Linked DNA regions of Coturnix japonica. The protein of the gene in region 2 interacts with the protein of the main gene of each other region in a biochemical or structural test. Links are inferred from orthologs where the notes say so. Each region holds a gene or a part of one and is shown on either strand. Other genes may lie near its edges.

Region 1 (6,279 bases), on a different chromosome or scaffold from region 2:
TCCTAAACGTAGATTTGTAGTTCCAGGTGTTTTAGATGACCACTCCTGTTCTTTTTGAAATTTTAAGTTTTCTTTTTCAATTTCTTCCAGCAGCGTTAAGGGCTCCACAGACTGTCCTAGAATACCAATAACTTTTTCCACAATACTTTGTGAATATCCCATCGTTCTGAAAAAGTTTACAAGAATTTTATATTCTATTTCCTCACTGATATCATCGCCTTCTTTTATACAGTAACTGGGATCATCTAAGTCACCACAGCTATCTGAAATCAGATCAATAACTGCATCCCTCTCGGAAGGATCATTGCGTGAGATAGCCTTCACTTCCTGGTCATTTTCCAAAGAGAACTGCTTTTTAGGGAGACGTTCCTCAGCATCAGAAAATCGTCTTTTACAAGATTGTCTTTCTTTAGATGTCATTGCCTCTAATGGAGGCACAATATTTATGGGAACAAAAGTTGTTTCAGAAGCATCAGAAAACACGTTGTCCATTTGCTTTGTAAGCTCAGATACAGGAGTCCCAGCATTGTTTCTCTCCTCCTCGTTCCTTGTTTTTCCATCTCTGCTTGTAACAGTGACTTGGGAGGTTTTGTCCTGTAAGAACTCTGCTAGGCTTTGGGACCCTGTAAGATCTATTATATCATCCCCTGACTCACAACATTCAGTTTGCATCAGAGTTAGGAGTTCCCTTTTTAGTGAGCTAGGCAAAATCAATAAATCCATTGTATATTTATCTGCATGTGCTTCCACAAATTGCCTAAATTGCTTTTTAATATCTGATTCATATTCACTTGACAAACTTTCATTATTCTCAAAAAGCTTCACAAACTGCTGAACTTGACTCTGAGCCATAACAACTGCTTCTGCACCCCCTTTAATACTAAGCAATCCTATTTCCAGCACGGTTATGTCAGCGCAGGTATCCTGAATGAGACTGTTGAGAAACACATTCTGCGCACCAACAAAAATGCAGTGCATGTCCTTTGGGTAATATTCTTTTTCTTCTAGTTCAGGTTCACAGAGACCCTTAATGTACTCCTAGAAGGAGAAAAAGACAGAGAAGTGAATCTTGTGAAAAGTTGACATTTAAAATCAGTAATGGACAAATACACTAGAACTACAGAACTGCAGGGGCTGGAAGGGATCACCTAGTCCAACCCCCTGCCCAAGCAGGCTTGTTAAACTTCATCTGGATCCTCTCTGCCAACTCTCCAGCCTGTCCAAGCAAAATAAAAATAAAGCCAGGTTTGCACAGTAAATCTGAGAAAGTAAATACTCCCAGTAAATACAAATACAAAACATGTATTTGAGGTGATTTTTAAATAGATCTCATAGAAGGCTATCTTTTAGTTTTTTATATTCCATTGTTTATAACTAAGTTCACTTGAAACTGATAGTAACTGAGTATTTAAGCTGTGGTTCCAAATACACCATATGTTTACTTTATCACTGATAAAAATACCTTAACATCCTGGATTCTCAGAATTCTTAATATCTGAAAGCACTCGAGCTCAAACAAGTAAAGGCACTCCCATTTGTGTCTTAAATTTGAGAAAGGATGGGTAGTTAAAATTATGATATTTGGACCAAACTCAACTTCCAGTAGTTACACAGTAACTCACTCCTCTGGGTTTCAAAAAGGTATTTATGCTACTCACTTAAAAACACAGCTAAACAGACACAGTTTTCAATTACTGTCTCTTATTTTACTAGGCTAAATCATCTAAAATAAATCTTGATCTTCCCCACTGCCTTTAGTTTTAGTGTTCACTTTTAACAAGTCGGAAAGATTTATTTTGTTATCCCCATTTTTTGGCCAGAGAACACACACTTTATCAGAAGCACCCTGTGATAGATTCCTAACAGTGGACTCAAAGGCTGCTTCTGAAAAACTCCCAAAGAGTAACTGCAAAGGTATTTATATTTTTATCTACTTATTGTTTGTTCTTTGCCCTATACTTATCACTGAGTTTAGAAGCTGCCAAAGCACAATACTTTGTTTTGGTCAGGCAGCATAATTATTCCTAAGTCTACTGTACTTCAAACTCTATAATGCAGTGAAACCACTTTCTAAGCTGCAGTCACGATAGTTGCAGAATCTCCAGTATATCAAATTTGACTGTCTTCCCTTAAGCCTTGGAAACTGAAATTCCCTTTTAAATGAAACTGAAAACCATTACAAGGTGATGAAGAATGCAAGGCCACTTTTTATCATCTCTGAGTCATACTGGTGTAAGCACCAGGGCAGGACACCTCAAGACCTTACCAGTACAAACTGCTTCTGCAGTAAAATCAACAGAAAAATGTTTGTGCCTTACCCATCACATGACTGCTGCTGCTAAAGAACACGCTTAAAAAACACGTCAAGAGTAGAGAAGAGAACAGCACTGCAGAATGAATACTGCAAATGATCGATGAATTCAAACAGAAAATGCTGTAATAGAATGTTTTCAAAAGAACAAAAAGATGTGTGATAATTAATACTTTCTAGTGAACAAGCCATCCAGATAAGGTTGAAGAAGGCTTGAAACGTGAGGAAAGAATCTCCTTTTAATAAAGACATACCCTTTTAAGTATGTGGAGTAAGAAGCAATCTCTATATTGTCAGGAAAGAAGCAATGACAGAATTGAAAATTGTTTTCTAGGCTTTTTCTAGGAAAAAAAACAAAACCAAAAAACAACGAAACAGGAAGTTGTGCTGCAGCTGCCCGAGAGGAGAAATATCCCTTATGTCACCTGTAACAGCTTCCAGAATCTCTGAGCCCAACAGAGAATCAAACTGGCTGAGATCCAGAGTCAGTTAATACAACAACCTTAACTTTCATAGTATCTTCCCTACAACTGATGCATGGCACAAGAAAGGAGTCAAGTTCTTCAAAGTGGAATGTGAAGTGAATTAAGTCATAAAGTACACTGTGTACCTGTGTGTTAAGCCCAGCTATCAGAACTTCAGGCTTCAGAGCTACATGTAGCCAATATGGTTCTCACACTGCTGCACTCAGCACACGATACGTACACACACAGCTGACAGGTCCCCCACCAGCACACAGCTCCTACCAATACCCCCATTGTGCCAGCTGTACAAGTGGTGTAACTAACTCTATACAAGTACCCTCACAGCAGCCAGTGCCATCACCAGGGGTGCAGGCAGCACTGATAACATTCTTCTTGTTTTGGAAGAAAGCTCCAGCAAACCAGCAGGTGAAGAAGCCTGGAGCTGCCGAGTTTTTCCTGGAGGAAATAAGAGCTCGGCTGAGCTGTCACTCAGAGCCCGGCCAACAGGCCATGGAATCAGCGACGTGTGTAAACCAACCGCGAAACCTGGCAACACCCAACCGACCCTGCGACTTCTGGAGCTGCAGAACAAGGGAGAGCTGCGTTCTGGTCGTTCTGAGCACCGTGAGGTCGGACTGGAGGACGCTGCGCTTTGCCCCCGGCACGTCCCGCAGCAGCGCTGCCCTTTGCTCTCAGAGTTCAACCACTTCCTACACCGATGCCGGCAGGTCCCGGCCGGGCGGTGGGGCTCAGCCGCGGCCCCTCGCCCCCCCCATCTCTTCTTCTTCCTCCTCCTCGTCCTCCTCCTCCTCCATACCTTGGCGTTCCGCACGGCCTTCCCGCCGCCCTCCAGCTGCACCCAGATCCTGGCTGCGGGCGGCGGCTGTCCCGGCGGCGGTAGTGCGGGCCGCCAATCCCCCTGCGCCTCCAGGACGGCCAGCCGCACCTCGAACAGGCCCTGAATGCGGCCCCGGCTGCCCTCCAGGAAGCGGCGTTTCTCGGCCGGGACGGTGAATTCGTCCAGGCCCGGCCCGGAGCCGCGGGCCGCCCCACGAGCCGCCATCAACGCCAGCCGCTCTGGGCCGCGCTCCGGCCTCTCATCCCGGCGGGCCGCAGGACAACAACACGGGGAATCCCCGGGCTCCCTTCGCTCGGTACGTGCGTCATCAGCCCGCGACGGCGGCACCGCCTCACCCGGAACTGGGCCGTGTCCCCTCCACAACCCGGGCGCCATGTTTTGCCGAGAGCGGTGACGGCTCCTGTTGTTCCGTCAGGCCCCGCCCCGCATTCACTACGTGGAGGACGGTTTGTTGCGGTGCTCGGAGCCCAGCCGGGCTGTAGCGAGGCGGCTAACCTTGTTTGGTTTCCTCTTTGCTTATGGACGTGGCGTGTGGAAGCACGGAGCAAACAGCGCCATGTGCCCCGAGGGAGAGCGGCTGTGTGAGCCCTGCTCAGTGGTCCCAGCGGTGTCGTGCTGCCATCGCGGTGGATTCCGTTCAGAACAAACCCCAAACATGTAGGAAAAGTAAGTTGTGTCCCTTGAGGTTGTAAAGGGAGAAACGTCCCGGCAGTTAGGGAAGCGCTGAGGCTCTACCAGGTTCTTGAATAGCTGCACTTGTCGGTATGGAGCAACTGCTGTAGCAATGAGTGAATATCACAGAATCACAAATGATCCGGGTTGGAAGGGACCTCAAGGATCATGTAGTTCCAACCCCCTGCCTGGCAGGGCCACCAAACATACACCTTTACTAGATCAGGTTGCCCAGGGTCCTGTCCAACCTGGTCTTGAACACCTTTGGGTCTTCCTCGTTTCCTCCCCTGACCACAACTAACACCCTCCAGGTTCTCGCTCTTTGATCCCCCTGGCTTCCATCCATCCCTCTGGTGTTGCTGTGCTGGTGGTTTTTCACAGCTGTTCATTAAATGCATCCTCCAGAGGGAAAGCGAATTCCCTTTAAACCTAAACGTCCCTATTTTCTTCCTTTAATACACAACATTACAGCAGGAGAGGGTAAATACAAGGTATTTTGATAAAGACGTTTATCTATTTCGAAACTTGTTAACTATCTGACATGTTGCAGTCAGTGCCCATCGGAAGGTCACACCAAATCGCACAGCTGTGTACTTTTTGCTCTCTGAATTTACAGCGTTATATCCTGAAGTGCAATGCAACTGTTGCTTGGTTAAATGGGGTGAGTTACACCTGTGCATACAGCGTTTACACATACTCATGCACTCTGAAACAGGATATGGTTCTAATGTCGATGTTATGTTTGAGAAAGGTGATCGATTTTCCTTAATATATATTTCATTTTTCTGAAAAGATTCCCCTTATTTGTAATTAAGCTCTATTTGCTTTCCCAAGTTAAATTACGCTCTGATACACACACTCAGTTGCTGGGCAATTTGAGGAGGTAGTTGGTGCCATCGGCTGTTTGAATGTGGTCACTGCAGCCATTGCTGCGTTGCAGCCTCTGTTAACCAAAAATGAAATTGTAAGCAAGAAACTTTACAGTAAAAATTAAACGACAAACAACTTTGAGGTACAAAATATAATGAAAAGGCTGAAATAAGATGCTTTTTTTTCTTTCTCTCACGTCAGCACTAGTTTTTGGAGCACCCCAGGGTAGCTGAAAATGTACTGGTTTCTAAGTAAAGTGGGTAATGTTTGGTGCTCCTTATATAGATGGGGTATTTTGCCACGCATATGTTATAAAACTTGCACTTACTGCAGAATTTATTGTGATCTGTATAATTCTCTATAATCTGTATTCTGAGGTGATTTTCATACAGTGGTATGAAACGTCTCTCAGGGAGATCATTGCAAGTGAGTAAGGTTCCTTAAGACTGTGTTCCAACGTACTAAGCTTATACAGTGTATGACATTTTAATGTTCAAGATAAACTAGAACCCTGTGATTCAGAAAGTTTCGTTTTGTAGAGCTGACTGCAAGGCAGAGTTCTTAATGAACCCATTGATCAAAGCTTTTGTTTTATTTCTTTGGTTTCCAGAGGAAAACTGTTGGAGAATTATCCAAGGTATAGATTCTGCAACTGTCAGTTTCTATTACTGATTTTGTATCTGTCCCTTAATTTTAGATTAATTACCTTTCTTTGTTCCAAGCTCTTTAAAATTGTAAGCATTTGAATCTTTCAAAAAGGAAGAAAAAGAAAAGTATTGTGATTACACGTGTCAGTTGCTGAATGTTGGTAATAATTCATTCTCTCTTTATGCAGTGGTGTTTGCATTGGTTTGGGTTTTTTTTAAGCTTTTTGAGTGTGTTAGCTCAGGTTTCTTAATTAGTTGCAAAGAGCTGCAGGTGTATTGGCAAAGACCATCATTTAGCCTGGGAAATGTTCCAAGAAACAATTTATTTTTTTTTTCTTTAATGTAAATATTTAGCTGTGTTATTATGACTTAATTTAAACACTCCACGCTGTGTGTTTGCTGTGTATTTAAATCCTGGAGTTTCACTTGAATGACTGACAACACAAGTGATAATCT
Region 2 (4,094 bases):
AAAAACTGCACCAAGGACACTGAGAAGTCACACCTAAGTGAGGTAATGGAACCTCAGCACCACCCATTCTAACACAGTGCAGTGTACAACCCACTCCCACTACCTTAGTCCTACAGCCTTAATGATGGACAGCAGCTTCTGAAGTCCTTACAGGAACACTGCATCCTTTCTGAAAATACAGAATCACGTTAAATTCTAGCAAGATTTAGTGACACAGTACTAGTGCTTAGACTTAAGACTTTAATCCATGTTAGGATTCACCCTCAAATACCTCCACAACCCACATAAAGATGCTTAAACCACCATGGAAGAAAGCCAAAAGGAACGTGTCATTTATATATACTGGGTTTACTAGCTTGAACTGAGACAGACAACAGAACGTAATGTGCAACAGAAAACTTTATTAGCATTTCAACATACAGATCAGCAGTTACTTAAGCTTGCGTTTAATTTAAGACATCAGAAAGACTACAGTGCAAACACAAGTGCTGTGCATCTTGCTCGACAAGACTGCTGACAACAACTAATAGCCACCCCTGAGGCGCAGCACCAGGTGCAGGGTGGACTCCTTCTGGATGTTGTAGTCAGACAGGGTGCGCCCATCTTCCAGCTGCTTGCCAGCAAAGATCAGCCTCTGCTGATCGGGAGGAATGCCTTCTTTGTCTTGGATCTTGGCCTTCACATTTTCAATGGTGTCACTGGGCTCAACCTCAAGGGTGATGGTCTTACCAGTGAGGGTCTTCACAAAGATCTGCATCCCACCCCTGAGGCGCAGCACCAGGTGCAGGGTGGACTCTTTCTGGATGTTGTAGTCAGACAGGGTACGGCCATCTTCGAGCTGCTTGCCAGCGAAGATCAACCTCTGCTGATCGGGAGGAATGCCTTCCTTATCTTGGATCTTAGCCTTCACGTTCTCAATGGTATCGCTGGGCTCAACCTCAAGGGTGATGGTCTTGCCAGTCAGGGTCTTCACAAAGATCTGCATCCCACCCCTGAGGCGCAGCACAAGATGCAGGGTGGACTCCTTCTGGATGTTGTAGTCAGACAGGGTGCGCCCGTCTTCCAGCTGCTTGCCAGCAAAGATCAGCCTCTGCTGATCAGGAGGAATGCCTTCTTTGTCTTGGATCTTGGCCTTCACGTTCTCGATGGTGTCACTGGGCTCAACCTCAAGGGTGATGGTCTTGCCAGTCAGGGTCTTCACAAAGATCTGCATCCCTCCCCTGAGGCGCAGCACAAGATGCAGGGTGGACTCTTTCTGGATGTTGTAGTCAGACAGGGTGCGCCCATCTTCCAGCTGCTTGCCAGCGAAGATCAGCCTCTGCTGATCGGGAGGAATGCCCTCTTTGTCTTGGATCTTGGCCTTCACGTTCTCGATGGTGTCACTGGGTTCAACCTCAAGGGTGATGGTCTTGCCAGTCAGGGTTTTCACGAAGATCTGCATCCCTCCCCTCAGACGCAGCACAAGATGCAGGGTGGACTCCTTCTGGATGTTGTAGTCAGACAGGGTGCGCCCGTCTTCGAGCTGCTTGCCAGCGAAGATCAACCTCTGCTGATCGGGAGGAATGCCTTCTTTATCCTGGATCTTGGCCTTCACATTCTCAATGGTATCGCTGGGCTCAACCTCAAGGGTGATGGTCTTGCCAGTCAAGGTCTTCACAAAGATCTGCATCCCTCCCCTGAGGCGCAGCACCAGGTGCAGAGTGGACTCTTTCTGAATGTTGTAGTCAGACAGGGTGCGCCCGTCTTCCAGCTGCTTGCCAGCAAAGATCAGCCTCTGCTGATCGGGAGGAATGCCTTCCTTGTCTTGGATCTTGGCCTTCACATTCTCGATGGTGTCACTGGGCTCAACCTCAAGGGTGATGGTCTTGCCAGTCAGGGTCTTCACAAAGATCTGCATGTTTACCTGAAAAACATACAGAAATTTTAGCCTTAGCTAAAAAGCACTTTAAGTCCACATACACCTTACAAACGAGAAAAAAAAGAACAACTTACTAATTTGCATTACGTTACATCATTTAGGATTTCAATAAGCTATAACTAACCCTGTTGTTCCTGTTCCCCACCTCTTCCTTGAGGTAGGACCCTATAATTCTGAATGCCCTGTGCTGGCCGAGCCCAGCACCCCCCTTCCTTTAACTCCAGGGCACCCCCCCGTGCTCTCACACTGGCACAACGGCTGCAGCCGCGCTGACTCAGCTCCCGCTTCCGGGCCGCACAGCGCCGCGCTCCGCCATCTTTATAACACCCCACCTTCCTCAGCCACAAGCTTCCCCTGCCCCCCCCCCCCCCTCGCACCGTTCTTCAAGCGCCCTTAGGCCGGATTAGACCGTCCACAACCACCTCCCCTCACAAATACAACCCCAAGCGGACTCACTCCAACCCCTTCTGCCTTGAAAACAAAAAACCACCGTCCCTTCTCTCCCCCCCCTCAGCGCTCCCCCCACACAACTCACGTCTCCGGCCCTGAGCTCCGATCAATGCAATCCCGATCCCAGTCGCTGTGTTCTGCGCTGTGACGCAGCGCCGCCCCTATTTATGCTCCTTGCGCCGCACAGTCCCCGCCCTCAAAGCGCTGACGTATCCCTCCGCCTCTCAAAGTAGTCCCAAACGAACCCCCCCCCGGTACCAGCAATACTCACCTCTCTACCGCTCCAATCCCTCCTCCAGGAGTAATGGGGTCCGTGATGTCCTCGGTAGAGAGAGGAGACCCTTCAAAATCCCAAAAGTTCTGAGGGCGCGGATGGATCTGGAGCTGCGGTGAAACGGCCTAATGAAACGTTCTAATCCCAACGGTGGCAAGATCGGCGCTGATTGGCGCAGCAGTAAGAAAGGTGGCTGCTGATTGGTTGTTAAGGAAAGATCCGTTGTAAAGAAAGCTCTGGAAGATTCCAGCGTTGCAGCGTTCTGATTGGTGCGCGGTGAGGTCAGCGCTGTTGCTAGGGCGGCCCTGCTCTGCGGGGGCAGATTTCGGTGGGGTGGGGGGGTGTGCGCATGCGCAGATCCGTAGAGTGGGGGCAGGGAGAGGCCGGGCAGGCCCCGCGCCCATGGGGACGTTGTGTTTAGGCCGCATCTTTTTGCCTGTTATTTGCTTAGGGAAGGGTCTGACAAGGAGAAAGGGGGCAAAAATACCCCTTAATCACAGCAGGCCCACTGCTGCTTTCAGAACAGGAAGCACTGAACAGGTCACACAGCAGCTTCCTGCTTTGAGCCGACGTGGCGGCATGTTTTGTGTTCATTAAAGCTCATTATACCTTTCAGAACAGCTCTTATATCATAACCAGAGCATGCAGAAAGCAGGAAGGTTTCTCTGCTGTTTCATTTACTGCTCGGTGAACACAGATGAACTTGCTGGTAAATCCTCTGCTTAGGAAGCACGAACGTGTGTGTGAATAGCAGGACTGAACACAGGGCTGTATTTCCCCCAGTTAAAAAGAGAGCTTTCACTTCTTTTAGCAAGGCCTGTGACTGCTCAGCACTTGGTTTACAGTAAAAAGGACATAAATCTTCCCAGCAGTTACTCAGAATGTAGACGGGAAGGGAGGAAAAGAGAAACTGGAAACCTCGGAGATACTATTCAGCTACATAGATTTAGGACTACGTAGATTTAGGACTACGTAGATTTAGGACAAAGGCCTTACTTAAGCAACGCTGTTTCCTTAATACTGCCAACTTTGCTCACTGTTTCCAATAGGCTCTTTTCGTGTACATAGCACCAAAGCAGCAGAGGTTAGAGCCAAGGCAGCTAAACAAGGAGCTCTGAGAGGAAAGCCATGAGAAACTAGCAATAATATTTACAAATGTGAAAGGCCACAGCTGCTAAACTGGATATTAACCACAACGCTAAGCTAAAGTCTGCCCTGGGTGTTTTGGGTTTGCATGAAGGATTTCGGCACTTTCAGAAAATGCCAGAGCCCTCCCTTCAACAAACAAGCAAAAAAACTATTGCCAAATCCTATGAGTAAACTATTTACGAAAGCAGTTGTTTTCTAGTTAAATATATCTAAGTACTTAGCACACATACTGCCCTTCCTCCAGTAGCTCCATGTGAATAAGCAACTGACTGGACTGTGTATAAATAAATGCAAACCTGTAAA
Region 3 (6,245 bases), on a different chromosome or scaffold from region 2:
TGTTTCAGACCAAGTGAGACTAGATAAGGTACAGACAGGTAACCTTCCGCATCAGTTCTCTTCTCTTACAGGGCAGCAAACTGCAGCAGAACTGCCTCAAACAATGCGGTACCACAAAAATCTATTCATACTGAGCAGTCCTCAGCAAGGCAGTGACATTGTCAGATAAGCAGAGCAGAGACTTGGAGGCTATCTTACAAATCAGAGATACTACTGTAGCTTGTCACAGCCTTCCCAGCATCACCATAAAGCAAGATCACTGGGCTACAACTAATTCCTCAAGAACATTGCTCCAACCTATTATCTCTCATGAAAGCCTCCCAGTTAAGAGCCCTTTGGTTTGCACAAGCACCCTCTCGTGGCACAGTTTTCCAAAGACAAGTTTATTTGCGGGTTGAAAGAATGCACTTATCTTTGTTCTCTCCTGTAACTCACAGAGGCCCAGAAATGAGATAAAAAACAGAGGTGACACTCTGAGAACTCTTACCCACCAGAAAGCCTTCATCAAAAGCCGCCTCCAGACACTTCTGCTCACATACACTTACACAGGGTACACAACTATCAGCTGAAGGACTCTGACTAAACAAGGAACAATACAATTATTTATCTAGAGACTAATCCAGGCAAGACCGATGGAGCTGAACAGAACTACAGGCATCAATCCTGAGTTTCTGAGTCACAAACCTTCATCAACTCCAACACAAAGCTGTCTTTTCTAACCAGATCTCAAGGAACAGACTCAAGTGAAGTGGTTTTGTTGGCACAACAGGAACAAGCAATCTTACTTCCTGAAACAGAAGGCAGAGAAACATCAAATAGATGGATTTCATATTAAAGTAAAGAAGAGAGGGAGGGCTACAGAATCAGAGGGGAGCACGGGACATGCTTTGGCGTATACTTGAAATGATGATAGTAATCACGCTACGCTGGCCTGGAGCAATGGGATGCAGCAAAAGGGAAATGGATGATTAAGAAACACACTTCCATTATTTTTTTCAAGGGATGTGGTCAGACCAAGGGAAAGCTTAAGCTCATTTGTGATTTCATTACCATGTCAACATTAAGCTTCAAAACATAACGATGCCTAGCGACGTTTTTGTAGCTTATTAAAATATTCATCAGTGTTTTGTCACATTCAGCAGAACCCAGTGTATGACTAGATACAGGAAAGACGTGTGGAAAAATGATGTCTAAAACGCGGCTAAGACCACACTACTTAAAGTCAAGCCAAAGAGTCGAAAACAAGCAGTAACTCCACAGAGAGGCAAAGGAGGAGGCAACTGTTATGCATTCCTCATTGCTCATCCATTTAGAACGTTGTGAGTTGGAAGGAACCCACAAGGATTGCAGAGTCCAACTCCCGGCTCCGTGGGACCACCTAAAATTCAAACCACATTTTCAAGAGCATCGTCCAAACACTGTTTCAACTACTTCTGTGGGGTTGAACCAGTCTGCAAACCTCCATCAGAATATTAGAACGACACAACACCAGTCTGGAATTCAAGATATTCATCCTTTTGGGGCAAGAGGTCTCACCAGACGAGCACCTCAGTGCTTTATATGAAAAGTTCCTTGCTGCACACTAATTCTCTCATCAAGCCCAGTGAAAGTCAACTAATTAATCATCACGCCACTTCTACCACAGGAACTGCCGCTGTTTACTTCAGGCCAGTAGAATCCATCCGTGATCACAGCTCTGACAATTGCTACTCTGCAACAAAACCACAGAGCCTTTATGCTGGACAAAGTTAAAATGCTGTTGGATCAGCTCCTCTTCATGAATAGGCATTTTATTTACAGTACCATCGTAGATAGCACTTCCATCTGATATTTGCAGCTGTCTATTACCACATTTCAATGGCTAAGGAAAGGAAGGCACATACATGACAAGCCGAGCTCCAGTTCAATAAACCTTCTGATTTTTAGGGTGGTGGCAACAGGGCAGGGAGCTTTGTCCAGCAGCACCTCCAGCCTAAGTGCTGCCATGGAGAGCTATTCCCTATGCCTCACTAACACAATGTGCTGTCAGCTACTGGTAACAAGTACTCAACCACAGCCTCAGTGAAGATTAGATACAGAGATGGAATACTGCAGGGAGGCTCCATTTACTCTTTAGCTTCATCAGTTAAAGTCACCAGAACTTTCAAAGGCAAATTGAGGAAAATTGCAACAAAGCGTTAAACAACATGAAATAAACATCTTGCCAAATGAGTTATTTTGCAGGACACATTCATCAACTACAGTTTCCCGTGTAAGGCTCAAGAATGCCTTTATTAATTATGTGAAGCTTCCAGGAAGTGTTCAGCCAACACTGCAGAAAACATGGATCTAGCTACCGAGATTAAATCCTGTTTGGTGAGCAGGGTCTCACTGCAAGGAAATAAAAAAGGCTGCAATATTTGAAGAACTTCATTTAAATGCTTGAATAAGTTGACGAAGCCTTAACATCCAGCATCTTCTAAGTCCTATTGTACTGAATTGAGAAGTTTTTATAGAGTGATCGAATGGCCTGGGTTGAAAAGGACCACAATGATCATCCAGTTTCAACCCCCCTGCTGTGTGCAGGGTTGCCAGTCACCAGACCAGGCTGCCCAGAGCCACATCCAGCCTGGCCTTGAATGCCTCCAGGGATGGGGCATCCACAGCCTCCTTGGGCAACCTGTTCCAGTGCATCACCACCCTCTGTGTGAAAAACATCCTCCTGATATCTAACCTAAACCTCCCGTCTCAATTTAAAACCATTCCCCCTTGTCCTATCATTATCCACCCTCATATGATGATCCCTTTATCATCCTGGCCATCCTCGCTCCCCAGATCTGTTACTACCCAAAGATAACACACCAATAGGAGGCAGGGGCAGAAGAGAGAAGATGCATTAAGGTGGATGCAGCACAACCGCACAGCAGCACCTGCAATAAAGCTCTTAGGTTGAATAGCTTTAGAAACAAGAGTAAGAGAGGTGTTCTGTTTAGAAAGAGGAAACAACAGGAGTGGAATGGGGTAAAACAGAGCTATATTCGACTCAAAGCAGCTCCAAACTCTTCTCTTCATCCCCAGAAATAAGACCTGCAAATCCTTATAAGCACCAAAGCAAGCAAACACTTCTGCCAGTGCAGAATGCGATACCTCTGAAAAATCTCCTGCAGGGTTTCCCTAGTGAAGGCGTTGCTGTCCTGGAAGACATTGTTGAGGGCATGGAGGGCACACAGCTCCCTGCGCTGCTTCTCGTGGTAAATATGTAGCGGCGGCGGTTGGGGTGGCTCTGGGGACTCCGATTTGGCCTTGTCACCTTTCCATGGCACGCAACTCATCTTCTCACAGGGCGGATGGCGAGCAGGAGGTGAGAAACTCAGCAGGCCGATGTCTCTTCCTCAGAGTCACAGCAGCAGCGCGCAGCCCCTTTACTTTATAGGCGAGGGCCGCTTCCAGCCCGCCAACCCCCCTCTTGTGCTTCAGTTTATTCAGTAATCGCCTCTGACTGCTGGCTTTAACAACCACCTCCTTTCTCCCATACCCCATAAAACGCCACACAGCCCTAACCCACCCCCCCCAAAAAAAAAGAAACAAAAACCCGAATAGAAAGATAACCAAAAGATACGGATCCCGTCAGTCTCAAGGTGCCGGCTGGATGCTCCCACACCGCTCCTTCTCTTCCATCTCCGTTCCGCAGCGCAGGCCGCACGGAGCTGCACCCCGCAGGGCCGGGCTCACAGCTCGGGCCCGCCCCGGGGCACGGAATGGGCCGGGGTCCCTCAGCTGCCCTCCTCCATTGCTGCGGGCAGGGCAGGCTCCGGGATGCCAACGGCTCGAGGAAGGAAGCCGCCTCCTCCCTCCTAGGCCATACAACACGGCTCCGGGCTCCGCGGCGCCCGGCGGACCGCCCCGCACCTCCACCCGAGGGAAACCGCCGTTAGGAGCGGGCAGGGCCCGCACGGAGCCCCGACGAACCGCCGCTGCCCGGCCACGGCCTCCTCACACCAACCGCAGCGGCGCATGCGCCCCCTCCTTCCTTCTCTACTGCGCCCAGGGGGTTTCTGTCAGGAGCCCCACAGACGCTCGGCGCGTTCCATTGGTCGACTCAGCTGTCCATGAAACCGTTCATCTTTTTCATTGGTTGATCCGAGAGAATGCCCGCCCACGTGTCTAACTACCGTGGTGTTCGGTCCCGCCCCACCGCTCAAGCCTTCCTATTCCATTGGATAGCAGGGCTGCTTGTCACGAGGAGCAGCTCTCTCATTGGACAAAAAGTACTCGACACGTCGAGCGGACTGTTGTGTGTGTATATATAGCAAACAAGCCGAGCTGGCAGTGCTGCTCCCATTGGCTCCGCGCTCCCCGGGGGCGTGGCCTCTTCACGGTCCCGCCCACCGCCGCTTTGACTCCGCGCTCCTTGCCGTCCCACCCGCTCTCCCATTGGCTGTCCGTCCTTGGCGGGCGGTGGGCGTGGCCTCCGCGCCTCCCGGGGCGGGGGCGGAGGGGCCGGGGCAGGGAAGATGGCGGCGGCGGAGCGGAGCCGCTCCCCGGCGGGGGGCTCCCCGGTGCCGGCCTGTATGTTCGCCCCGGAGCCCGGCTCTCCGGGCGGCAGGCCTCGCTTGGCGGCGGCCGCCTGCTCCTTGCGCTCTTCTTTCGAGGCGGAGGACGGTGAGGCGCTCAACGGAGAGCCCGAGATCGATCTCACCAGCAAGGTAGGCCCGAGGGTGGGCAGGGGCCGGGCCTTCTGTCACAGGGTCCTGTCCGGCGGGGAGGGGTTGGTACAGATAGCGGGAACCCTGCGTGGGCTCCTCGAGTTCCGTCCCGTTCGGCTGCTCGCGGTAACACTCCGCTCCGAGGGCCCGGCCCCTCTATGGGAGCGAGCAGGGGCTGTAGGAACCTGTGAGGGAACGGCTGAGCGCGGCACTGAACGCTCGGAAGATATCCTGTAAGGAAGCGAAGGATGAGCATCAAAACTTCAGCGTCCGCTGGGCCACCTGTTTGTGTCTGAGCAAGCTGGGCGAGGTGTGGATGCCGGATGCCAGCACCGACCTGTGTACGTGTGTGTGCTTTGTGTTGGATATGACCGGCGTGGAGCAGCGCGCAGGACGTCTCCGAGGGCTGTCACCCATCCTGACAGCTGGGAACCGCCCGCAGCTCTGACCAAGAGGGAGGAAAGCTCTTCTCCTGCTGCTTCCATTGGTGTCAGCAGCCAGCCGTCAGCTCCCAGACACCTGCAGGCAAAGAGGAAATGACAGGTGAGCGTTGTTTTGACCTTTATTACCACTGACTTCTCCACACAGCACTATACACCTGCTGCCCTGCTTTCTCAAAGTGGTGCTGCAATGGCACAGGCTGCACAGAGAGGTGGTGCAGTCACCGTCCCTGGAGGTGTTCCAGAGCCGTGTGGATGTGGCACTGAGGGACGTGGGCAGTGGGCATGGTGGGGATGGGCTGGCGGATGGACCAGGTGATCTTAGAGATCTTTCCCAACACAAATGATTGTACGATCTCTGTCTTGGACGAGTGCTAAGGCTGTGAGCTCTACCCTATCTCCCATTCTCTGTTCTCAAAACAGCAGTCTCCCATATGGTGTGAACACAGGAGCTAACTTGGCCTCTTCCCCACCCCCCATTTCTCTGCTTTCCAGCTGAATTACTTCTCACCACTTCCTGCTTAAAACAGTGATTCCCACTGCAGTTAGTTTGCTGGCTTTCTGTCCCACTCTGACCCAGCTGTTTGCTGTCTGACACACTTCTCTCCCATTCCCCTCCCCAGTGTCTTTGCGGTGAGTTCTGCTCTTCATAGAGAACAGTGCTGGGGGATTTCTTATCAAGCACATGTACTTCATCAGTTGATCAAGCAAACAGTTCCATTCATCAGCACAAATCCATTATCACATTAATTTTAGTAGATGCTTCTTTTTCCTTCAAGACTAGTACACTGCAGTAGTAATTATCTTTTAGGTCAAAAACAAATCTCACAAAGCTATTGTGAAGCAAAATTTTTTAAGTTATTATACATTAATTCTACGCTGACAACAGAACATTAGTAACACTCAAAGTATGTCTGTCTACAGGAAATAGGAAGTAAACTATGATGTTATGGAAGGTGTTGGTGTGAGATTGAAATGTCACAGGGCTGGGTTGTCTTTGCCCTGACTTCTCAGTGGTTCGTGGTAACCTCCCAGCCAAACGTCTGACTGTGTCATACTAGTAGAGCAGCACTGCATGCTGCTTAGTATTTGTTTTGCCTTTAACCTTTATAGTTTGCTC
Region 4 (6,472 bases), on a different chromosome or scaffold from region 2:
GTGTGATCATTAACCGCACCCGGCCCTATGGGATCCCTACAGGGCACAACGGACCGCCCAGCGACACCCGTACCCCCTCCATAGCCCATATCACATCCCTATAGGGCACCGAGGGATCCCCATAGGGCACAACGGGGGCGAGCAGCGAACCGAACCGTCCCCCCCACCCCACCACCCCGTGTGGCTTCCCGCTTCGCCGTTTATGAGCCTATCGCGGCTACCGGAGCTCCGAGCCCTTTAGGGAGGGGGGGGCTGCAAAGATGGCGGCCGGAAGACGATTGTCGTTCCGTTACCCACCCCCCCCTTTAATGGGACACCCCACCCCCGGGTCCCAACTCACTCCGTCGCCCTCCGCCACGCCGGCCGCCGCCCCCCCCCCCCCGCTCAGGGCTGGCAGTGACGTCACCGACAACGCGCCCGGGCGGGCCCGCGGGCGGAGGGGGCGGGGCTTTACCTGTTTTGGAGTGGGCGTGGTCATGGTTCGGCACCCGGCGAGGGGGGCGGGACTTAACGGGATAAGGGCGGGGGGGGGGGGTGCACACGTCTGGCTCCGGGTAGAGGGGGGCACAACCCCTTGCCTTCCCCGCGAGCCCCCACCCCCCAGCACTGCCGCCATAGGCACCCCATGGACGCCCCCCCATGCAGTCCTATACCCTCCCCGTTGACCCCCACGTCCCTATAGCCCCCCCTCTCAGCCCCTATGCCCCCCCCCGCCACCCCCTCTATACACACCGCACTCCTTCCCCTGCCACCCTCTGCCCCCCCAACCCCCCTACTCAGCCCCTATTACAGCTCCTATAGCCACCCCTGCATCCCCCCATCGCCCCCCACTCCCTCTTCTGTCCCTACAGAGTACCTATCACCCCTCCCAGCCACTCCTGTGCCCCCCCCGACCCCAACACAGCCCTCATGGCCAACCCCATCCCTCCATCCAACCCCCATAGCCAACCACACCACCCAACAGCACCGACTGCAATGGGTAAAGTCCTTTATTGGCTAAGGCAATGCTGTGGGAGAGGGCACACATCTCCCCCCCCACAGCAGCCCCACCATCCCTGAGGGTCCATAGCAGGGCAGAGGGGGGGGAACCCTGCTCCCACGGGTTCCTCACCCCCATATTAAGGCCACTTGAAATACAGGGACGGTCCCAGCACTGTGCAAGAAGGGCCCTCCCCAACCCCCACATCGTCCCCAAGATCTGCAGAGGATCCCTGTGGGTTGGGGGGGTCCTGGGGGGCTACAGGAGGGTGCAGTCCAAGTTCTGTTTGTGCCTCTGTCTCCGCTCTGGTGTTGGGCGGCCGCCCTGCTGTGCTCGGCCCTATAGAGAGACAGTGGGGATGGAGATGGGGGGTGGACGGAGCAGAGGGGCACAAGGAAGAGACCCCAATACCTGTGGGGGAGCTGGGGGTGGCCGCTGCTGCTGCTGTTGTTGATATTCCTCCTGCTGCAGCTGCCGTGCCAGCTCCAGGTCACTGAGTGCTGAAGGACCCTGGCCCTGCTGCTGCTGCAGGGATAGCGCCATCATGTAGTCCTGGGCATGGAGGGAAGCACAGAGAGGGGTGGGCACGGTGCTGGGGGTCTCCCATTCCCTGGTGTTGCCGCAGCTCAGCCCCTCACCTGGTCCAGCTGACTCTGCTCCGGCGCAGCCGCCTCTTTGCCCAGCACGTGGCTGAGGTGGAACTGGGTGTCGCAGAAGCAGCTGTCCCCATCCACGTTGTGAAGGCTCTCCCACACCACACATTCCTCCTGCAGGAAGCCCTGGTCCGTCACCAGCAAGTACAGGTGGCCCTGGGGACAGGGAATGGGAAGAGAGACTCAGAACTGTGGGGGGGGGGGGGGGGAACTCACAGCCCCTGCTGCAAGCTGGCTGCCCCAGCCCCATCCATAGGGGCACCCACACTGCCCCAAAGCCTTTGGAGCGAGGAATTCCCCCCAAACTCTCCTCTTTCAGCTCTATCCTCCCCAACGCTCCTCCATCTGTGTCCAGATGTGCCCATGCCATGGATCAGCTCTGGGTCACGGTCGTACCTTGTGCTTTATCATAGTGCTGAAGTGGTTGTTGCGGAAGAAGACGCTCAGCTCCTCCTCCTTCACAGCTGCCGTCAGCTCACACAGCCCGTGGTAAGTCAGCTGGGAGGCCGTGGATTCCAAGAACTGCTCAGCAATCAGCCCTGGGGGTTTGGGGGGGGGAGGGGGGTGATATGAGAGCGGGGCCAGGGCAGCCCTGAACCCCCACAGCACAGCACCCACCTTCGGTCACCAGGTTGGGGTCACCGGAGTGTTTGCACGTGATGATCTTCTCCACCAACTGGTTGTAGCTCAGTTTGCCAACAGCTCGCACCACCTCGGGGCTCTGCAATGGGGGGGGGATGCATAGGAAATAATAAGAATGGGAGAATTCACACCCCAACCCAATGAGCTCAGCACAACTGCGACATCCCTCAGGACCCCCAAATAGAGAACAACCCCCTCCTCCCCCAGCACCCACCTGTGGGTCCACCAGCCAGCCGTGGTACAGGGGGACATTGAGGAGGTCGAAGACGATGCACTCCGGGGTGTACTCAAAGTCAGAAACGCCCGTAAAGCGAACGTTCACATCCAGACCCGTCGAGAGCTTGGGCAGCACCATCATGGTGTCATTGACGTTCTGTGGGGGGGGGAGAGCAGCACCAGGTTGTGCTCAGGATGATGTGCCCACTGCCCAGCATTGTGACCCCCCACCCCCCAGCCTGACCTCAGCACTCACCTGCTGGAAGTTCAGCTGCAGCCCCTCTGACTTCTCCTGGGGTTTGATGGACAGGATGCAGTCCCCTTGGGTGCAGTGCAGAATGGTCACTATGGGGCTCCCAGTGGTGCATGGAGCCCAGCACAGCTCAGCCTCCCCTGTCTGTTCCTGCCCTTCCCAACCAACCCCCATTCCCCTGCAAAAGAAAGGCGCTGGGCCCCACATCCCCCTCCTGCTTTGCACCCAGAGGGAATATCTCAGAAGCTGTGCACAGGGAACGTGGTGGGGGCACAGACCCCATGGATGGAGCAATGGGTGGCAGATGGGAACCACTGCCTCAAACTCAGCCCAGGAGCCCACAGTGCCAGCACTGCTCCCCCCACCAGTCCCACTCACCCAGATGGGCCATCAGCTCATCCGACGTCACCACCTCCTTCTGTGGGGGCAGCTTCACCTGGAGGCACATTGGATGGGGGGGGACAGTCAGCAGAGCCCCCCAACACTGTTAAGCTCCCCAGCTCGAAAGCACAGACCATGCCAGATGAGGCAGCAGGCTGAGATCCCTTCACTCTCCTTTTCCTTCTCGCCATGTTATCTCACAGCCCCCAGCTGCCCCCCTGAATGCTCCTATTAGGGTTCCATGGAGCAAATGGGATTGACGTTCCCCCCCATGTCTTCCCCTGCTGCTCACCTTCCACTGCAAGAAGAGGATGTTCATGATGGCCAGCAGCGGGCAGGGCCCGTTCTCACTCTGGGTGATGATGGGTGTCCGCTCTCCCTTCCACGTGATCCACTTCACACAGTAGAAATCAGGCTCAGGTTCACGGGATGGGGAGTGGGTGCTTTGGGGCTCAGCTGCCGGCTGTGAAGCCCCCCCCGGGGATGCATTGCTCTCACTGGGGGTGGGCAGCTCCTCATGGGCACCTGGGCTTCTGCTCTCCTGGTGCTCAGCAGGATCCTCTGCGGTGCTGGGGTGGGGCACCTCCTCCTCCACTGCTGGTTGCAGCACCAGGCTCTGCCCACTGGCAGATGGAGCATCCCCCCCTTCTTTGGATCTCCCCGTGTCCCGTGGTGGCTGGCAGGGCTCAGGGCTGCTCTCTGGGCATTGGGAATCACCCCCCGTGGTGCTGAGCATCGCCCCCAGCTCAGACTGCAGCTCCATCCTGGCAGCTCAGAGCATCCGTCAGCAGTGCTGTGTGGTCCTGAGGCTCCCCAACACAGCACACAGTTCTGTCCTGCTGCGGTCCCAACCTTAAGATGCCAAGTTCAGATACTCCACAAGAAAACACATATAGAAGTCCAACTCCTTCAGCAGGCACTGCCTGTCACTTCCAAACAACTGAAACAATCCCAAGGAGCAACGAGCTGAGATGCCAACCTGCACAGCAGATCCAAAAGGTCCAAGGGATGCTCGGAGGGCACTGCTGGGCACTGGGATGGCCCCACAGCCACCTCCTGCCCCGCTGCTCACTGTGGATGACAGGCAGTGCTCTCTCAGCTCTGCCTCTGTGTGTGCATCCACATTCCAGCTGATGGCAGCTCCAAGGAGGCCAGCACAGCTGGGGGTGCTCCTTGTGCTCACCACCAGCAATGAGTGAGGGGTGTGAGAGCCACCAGAGCTGAGCTGAGGGCTGAAATGTTCCACTCGTGCCCTTATTCTGCTGCCAGTCCAGCCCCAGAGCCACGGAACGATGGTTGGTTGGACAAAGGTGTCCTTGAAGGCGTTTATCCGCTGCTGTCCTCGTTGGATGATCACCACAGCCAAAGCCTGGAGTTACACAAACAGAACAGAGCCGCTCTGTCGTGGTGCTGGCGCAGTTCAGATCCGTCCACCTGCAGCTCTGCCCATGCTGCTGTTCCTCCCACGGCCTGCCCTGCATGGACCAAAAAGGAAACAAGTTGGATCAAGCAGCATCACCAACAGCGCAGCTCCGCTGAGCCCAGAGGGGCAGCATTACCCAGACTCAGAGCTCCAAGCTGCAATGGGTCTCAATGTGGTTCCACTCAGAGCTCTGGCTGCCCCCTACCCCCATCCATCCCCATTTTCTCCTCATCCATCCCCATTTTCCCCACTGCTGCCTCTCCCCACAGGGCTGGAAGGGCTCTGCTGAGACACACACCTCGGCTGAGTCACCAGCAGATCCCATTACACCTTAATCCTCCTCCTTCCCCCTCCCTCACCCGGCGCTGAGTTGGGCTCTTTGGCAGTGCTGTTGTTTCCAACTCGGAGGGGCACAGGAAGGGCTGCAGTGGATGAATGCAGAGCAAACAGGCGTTGCCTGCCCCATGCAGGGAAGGTGCAGGCTGTGCTGCTGGAGCACAGAGAAAGCAAATGAACAGTGAAGAGGAAAGGCTGAGCATCCCTGCAGTGTGCTCCATGGGGTGCAGTGTGCTCCATGGGGTGCAGAGCAATGTGGAAGTGCTCAGGGCTCCCTCACAGCCCTGCTGCACCCCTCTCTGCAGCAGCAGTGGGGTCAGGGACCCCCTCAATGCAGTGTCTGTGCACATCTGCTCCCACTCCAGGTGGAGCTGAATGGGAAACATCCAAGGAAAGAAGCAGGGGGAGTTTTGGGGAGGTCTGCACCGCTCTGTGCCTCCCCACCCACTGCCACTGGGGATCCTAATGTGAAAACACATCCAAAGATGAGGCAGAATCCTCCAAACTCCACAGAAGCCCAAAGGTTGCGCTGTGAGCTCTGACAGCCACAAGTCCTGCTGCCAAAGGGAGTTGTTCCTTTCCGAGGGGCTGCTGAGCAGCAGCTCCTCACCACATCCCTGCAGTCGCAGCTGGAGACGCTCAACACAATTCACTTCCAAAACGGGGTGAGCGGGCAGCAGGACGCTGCAGCCCACAGCCCTGCCCTCAGCGTGGCTCTGAGTCATCCTCCCACGTCAGCGCGTCCCCAGCTCACCCTCCTGGCACTACACAGCCCTGACAGCAGCCCTTCCCCCCCAGCAGTGGCCCACACCACAAAGGGGCCATCCCCACAAAGCCATCCTCGGGCTGAAGGGCTCTGCAGGTTCAGAAGGTCCTGGCAGCTTTAAATCAAACCAGCTGCAGCCCTGGATACAGGCAGTTCTGAGGGAAGAGGGTGGCTTGGTTGTGTTTGGACTGAAGCAGTGCGGTCAGATCCTGCCCTTCTTTGGGTGTTATGGCAATAAACACATCGAGACCTGGCAGCTTTATAACAAGACCATCCCCTTTGCCCCCCTACAAGGGAGGGGGACCTGAGCCCAAGGAGTGCAGCTTCACAGTGCCCAAAAGCAAGCTGAGAGCTCAGAGCTGCACAGGTTTAAAGCTCAGAGCTGACAGGTTAAAGCTCAGAGCTGCACAGGTTTAAAGCTCAGAGCTGCACAGGTTTAAAGCTCAGAGCTGCACAGGTTTAAAGCTCAGAGCTGCACAGGTTTAAAGCTCAGAGCTGCACAGGTTTGAAGCTCAGAGCTGCACAGGTTTGAAGCCTCAGAGCTGCACAGGTTGAAGCTCAGAGCTGCCACAGGTTAATAAAGCCAAGAGAACTGCATGACAAGAGTTAACAACAGCCGCGAGAGCTGCGCCAGAGCTCATTAAAACTAGCTCACGAGCTGCGCAGGTTTAAAGCCCAGAGCTGCACTTCCCACTGCTGGGATGGGAACTGCAGCCCAGCGTTCTGCTATGGTGTTTCAGAGGTAGGAAGCAGACAACCAGCCCTGTTAATGTGCTCATCCCAAAGAGGAATTCAGGCCTGGATCCAGGGAAGCACTTAAACA

What was found. The genes of interacting proteins can lie anywhere in the genome.
Region 1: the proteins of UBC (region 2) and N4BP1 form a complex in vitro, tested with the Homo sapiens proteins (6 studies listed by BioGRID, with this or other methods). The link is inferred for Coturnix japonica from reciprocal best matches to the Homo sapiens genes UBC and N4BP1.
Region 3: the proteins of UBC (region 2) and JOSD1 form a complex in vitro, tested with the Homo sapiens proteins (4 studies listed by BioGRID, with this or other methods). The link is inferred for Coturnix japonica from reciprocal best matches to the Homo sapiens genes UBC and JOSD1.
Region 4: the proteins of UBC (region 2) and MINDY1 form a complex in vitro, tested with the Homo sapiens proteins (5 studies listed by BioGRID, with this or other methods). The link is inferred for Coturnix japonica from reciprocal best matches to the Homo sapiens genes UBC and MINDY1.

What each region holds. Positions count from the first base shown.
Region 1 is NC_029526.1:6,160,732-6,167,010, reverse strand, and holds the start of N4BP1 (NEDD4-binding protein 1), read right to left. Parts: upstream 4,025-6,279; 5' UTR 4,010-4,024; coding exon 3,593-4,009; intron 1,039-3,592; coding exon 1-1,038. UniProt on the Homo sapiens protein: Potent suppressor of cytokine production that acts as a regulator of innate immune signaling and inflammation.
Region 2 is NC_029534.1:5,348,137-5,352,230, reverse strand, and holds UBC (polyubiquitin-C), read right to left. Parts: upstream 2,801-4,094; 5' UTR 2,640-2,800; intron 2,579-2,639; exon of another isoform or gene 2,454-2,578; intron 1,904-2,453; 5' UTR 1,898-1,903; coding exon 524-1,897; 3' UTR 382-523; downstream 1-381.
Region 3 is NC_029516.1:46,388,540-46,394,784, reverse strand, and holds the start of JOSD1 (josephin-1), read right to left. Parts: upstream 4,025-6,245; 5' UTR 3,312-4,024; coding exon 3,127-3,311; intron 1-3,126. Other genes in the region: GTPBP1 (GTP-binding protein 1), read left to right, coding at 4,494-4,685.
Region 4 is NC_029540.1:2,195,902-2,202,373, forward strand, and holds MINDY1 (ubiquitin carboxyl-terminal hydrolase MINDY-1), read right to left. Parts: upstream 4,025-6,472; 5' UTR 3,888-4,024; coding exon 3,417-3,887; intron 3,180-3,416; coding exon 3,122-3,179; intron 2,812-3,121; coding exon 2,747-2,811; intron 2,648-2,746; coding exon 2,489-2,647; intron 2,354-2,488; coding exon 2,251-2,353; intron 2,172-2,250; coding exon 2,029-2,171; intron 1,789-2,028; coding exon 1,618-1,788; intron 1,532-1,617; coding exon 1,391-1,531; intron 1,319-1,390; coding exon 1,238-1,318; 3' UTR 972-1,237; downstream 1-971. UniProt on the Homo sapiens protein: Hydrolase that can specifically remove 'Lys-48'-linked conjugated ubiquitin from proteins. Has exodeubiquitinase activity and has a preference for long polyubiquitin chains. May play a regulatory role at the level of protein turnover.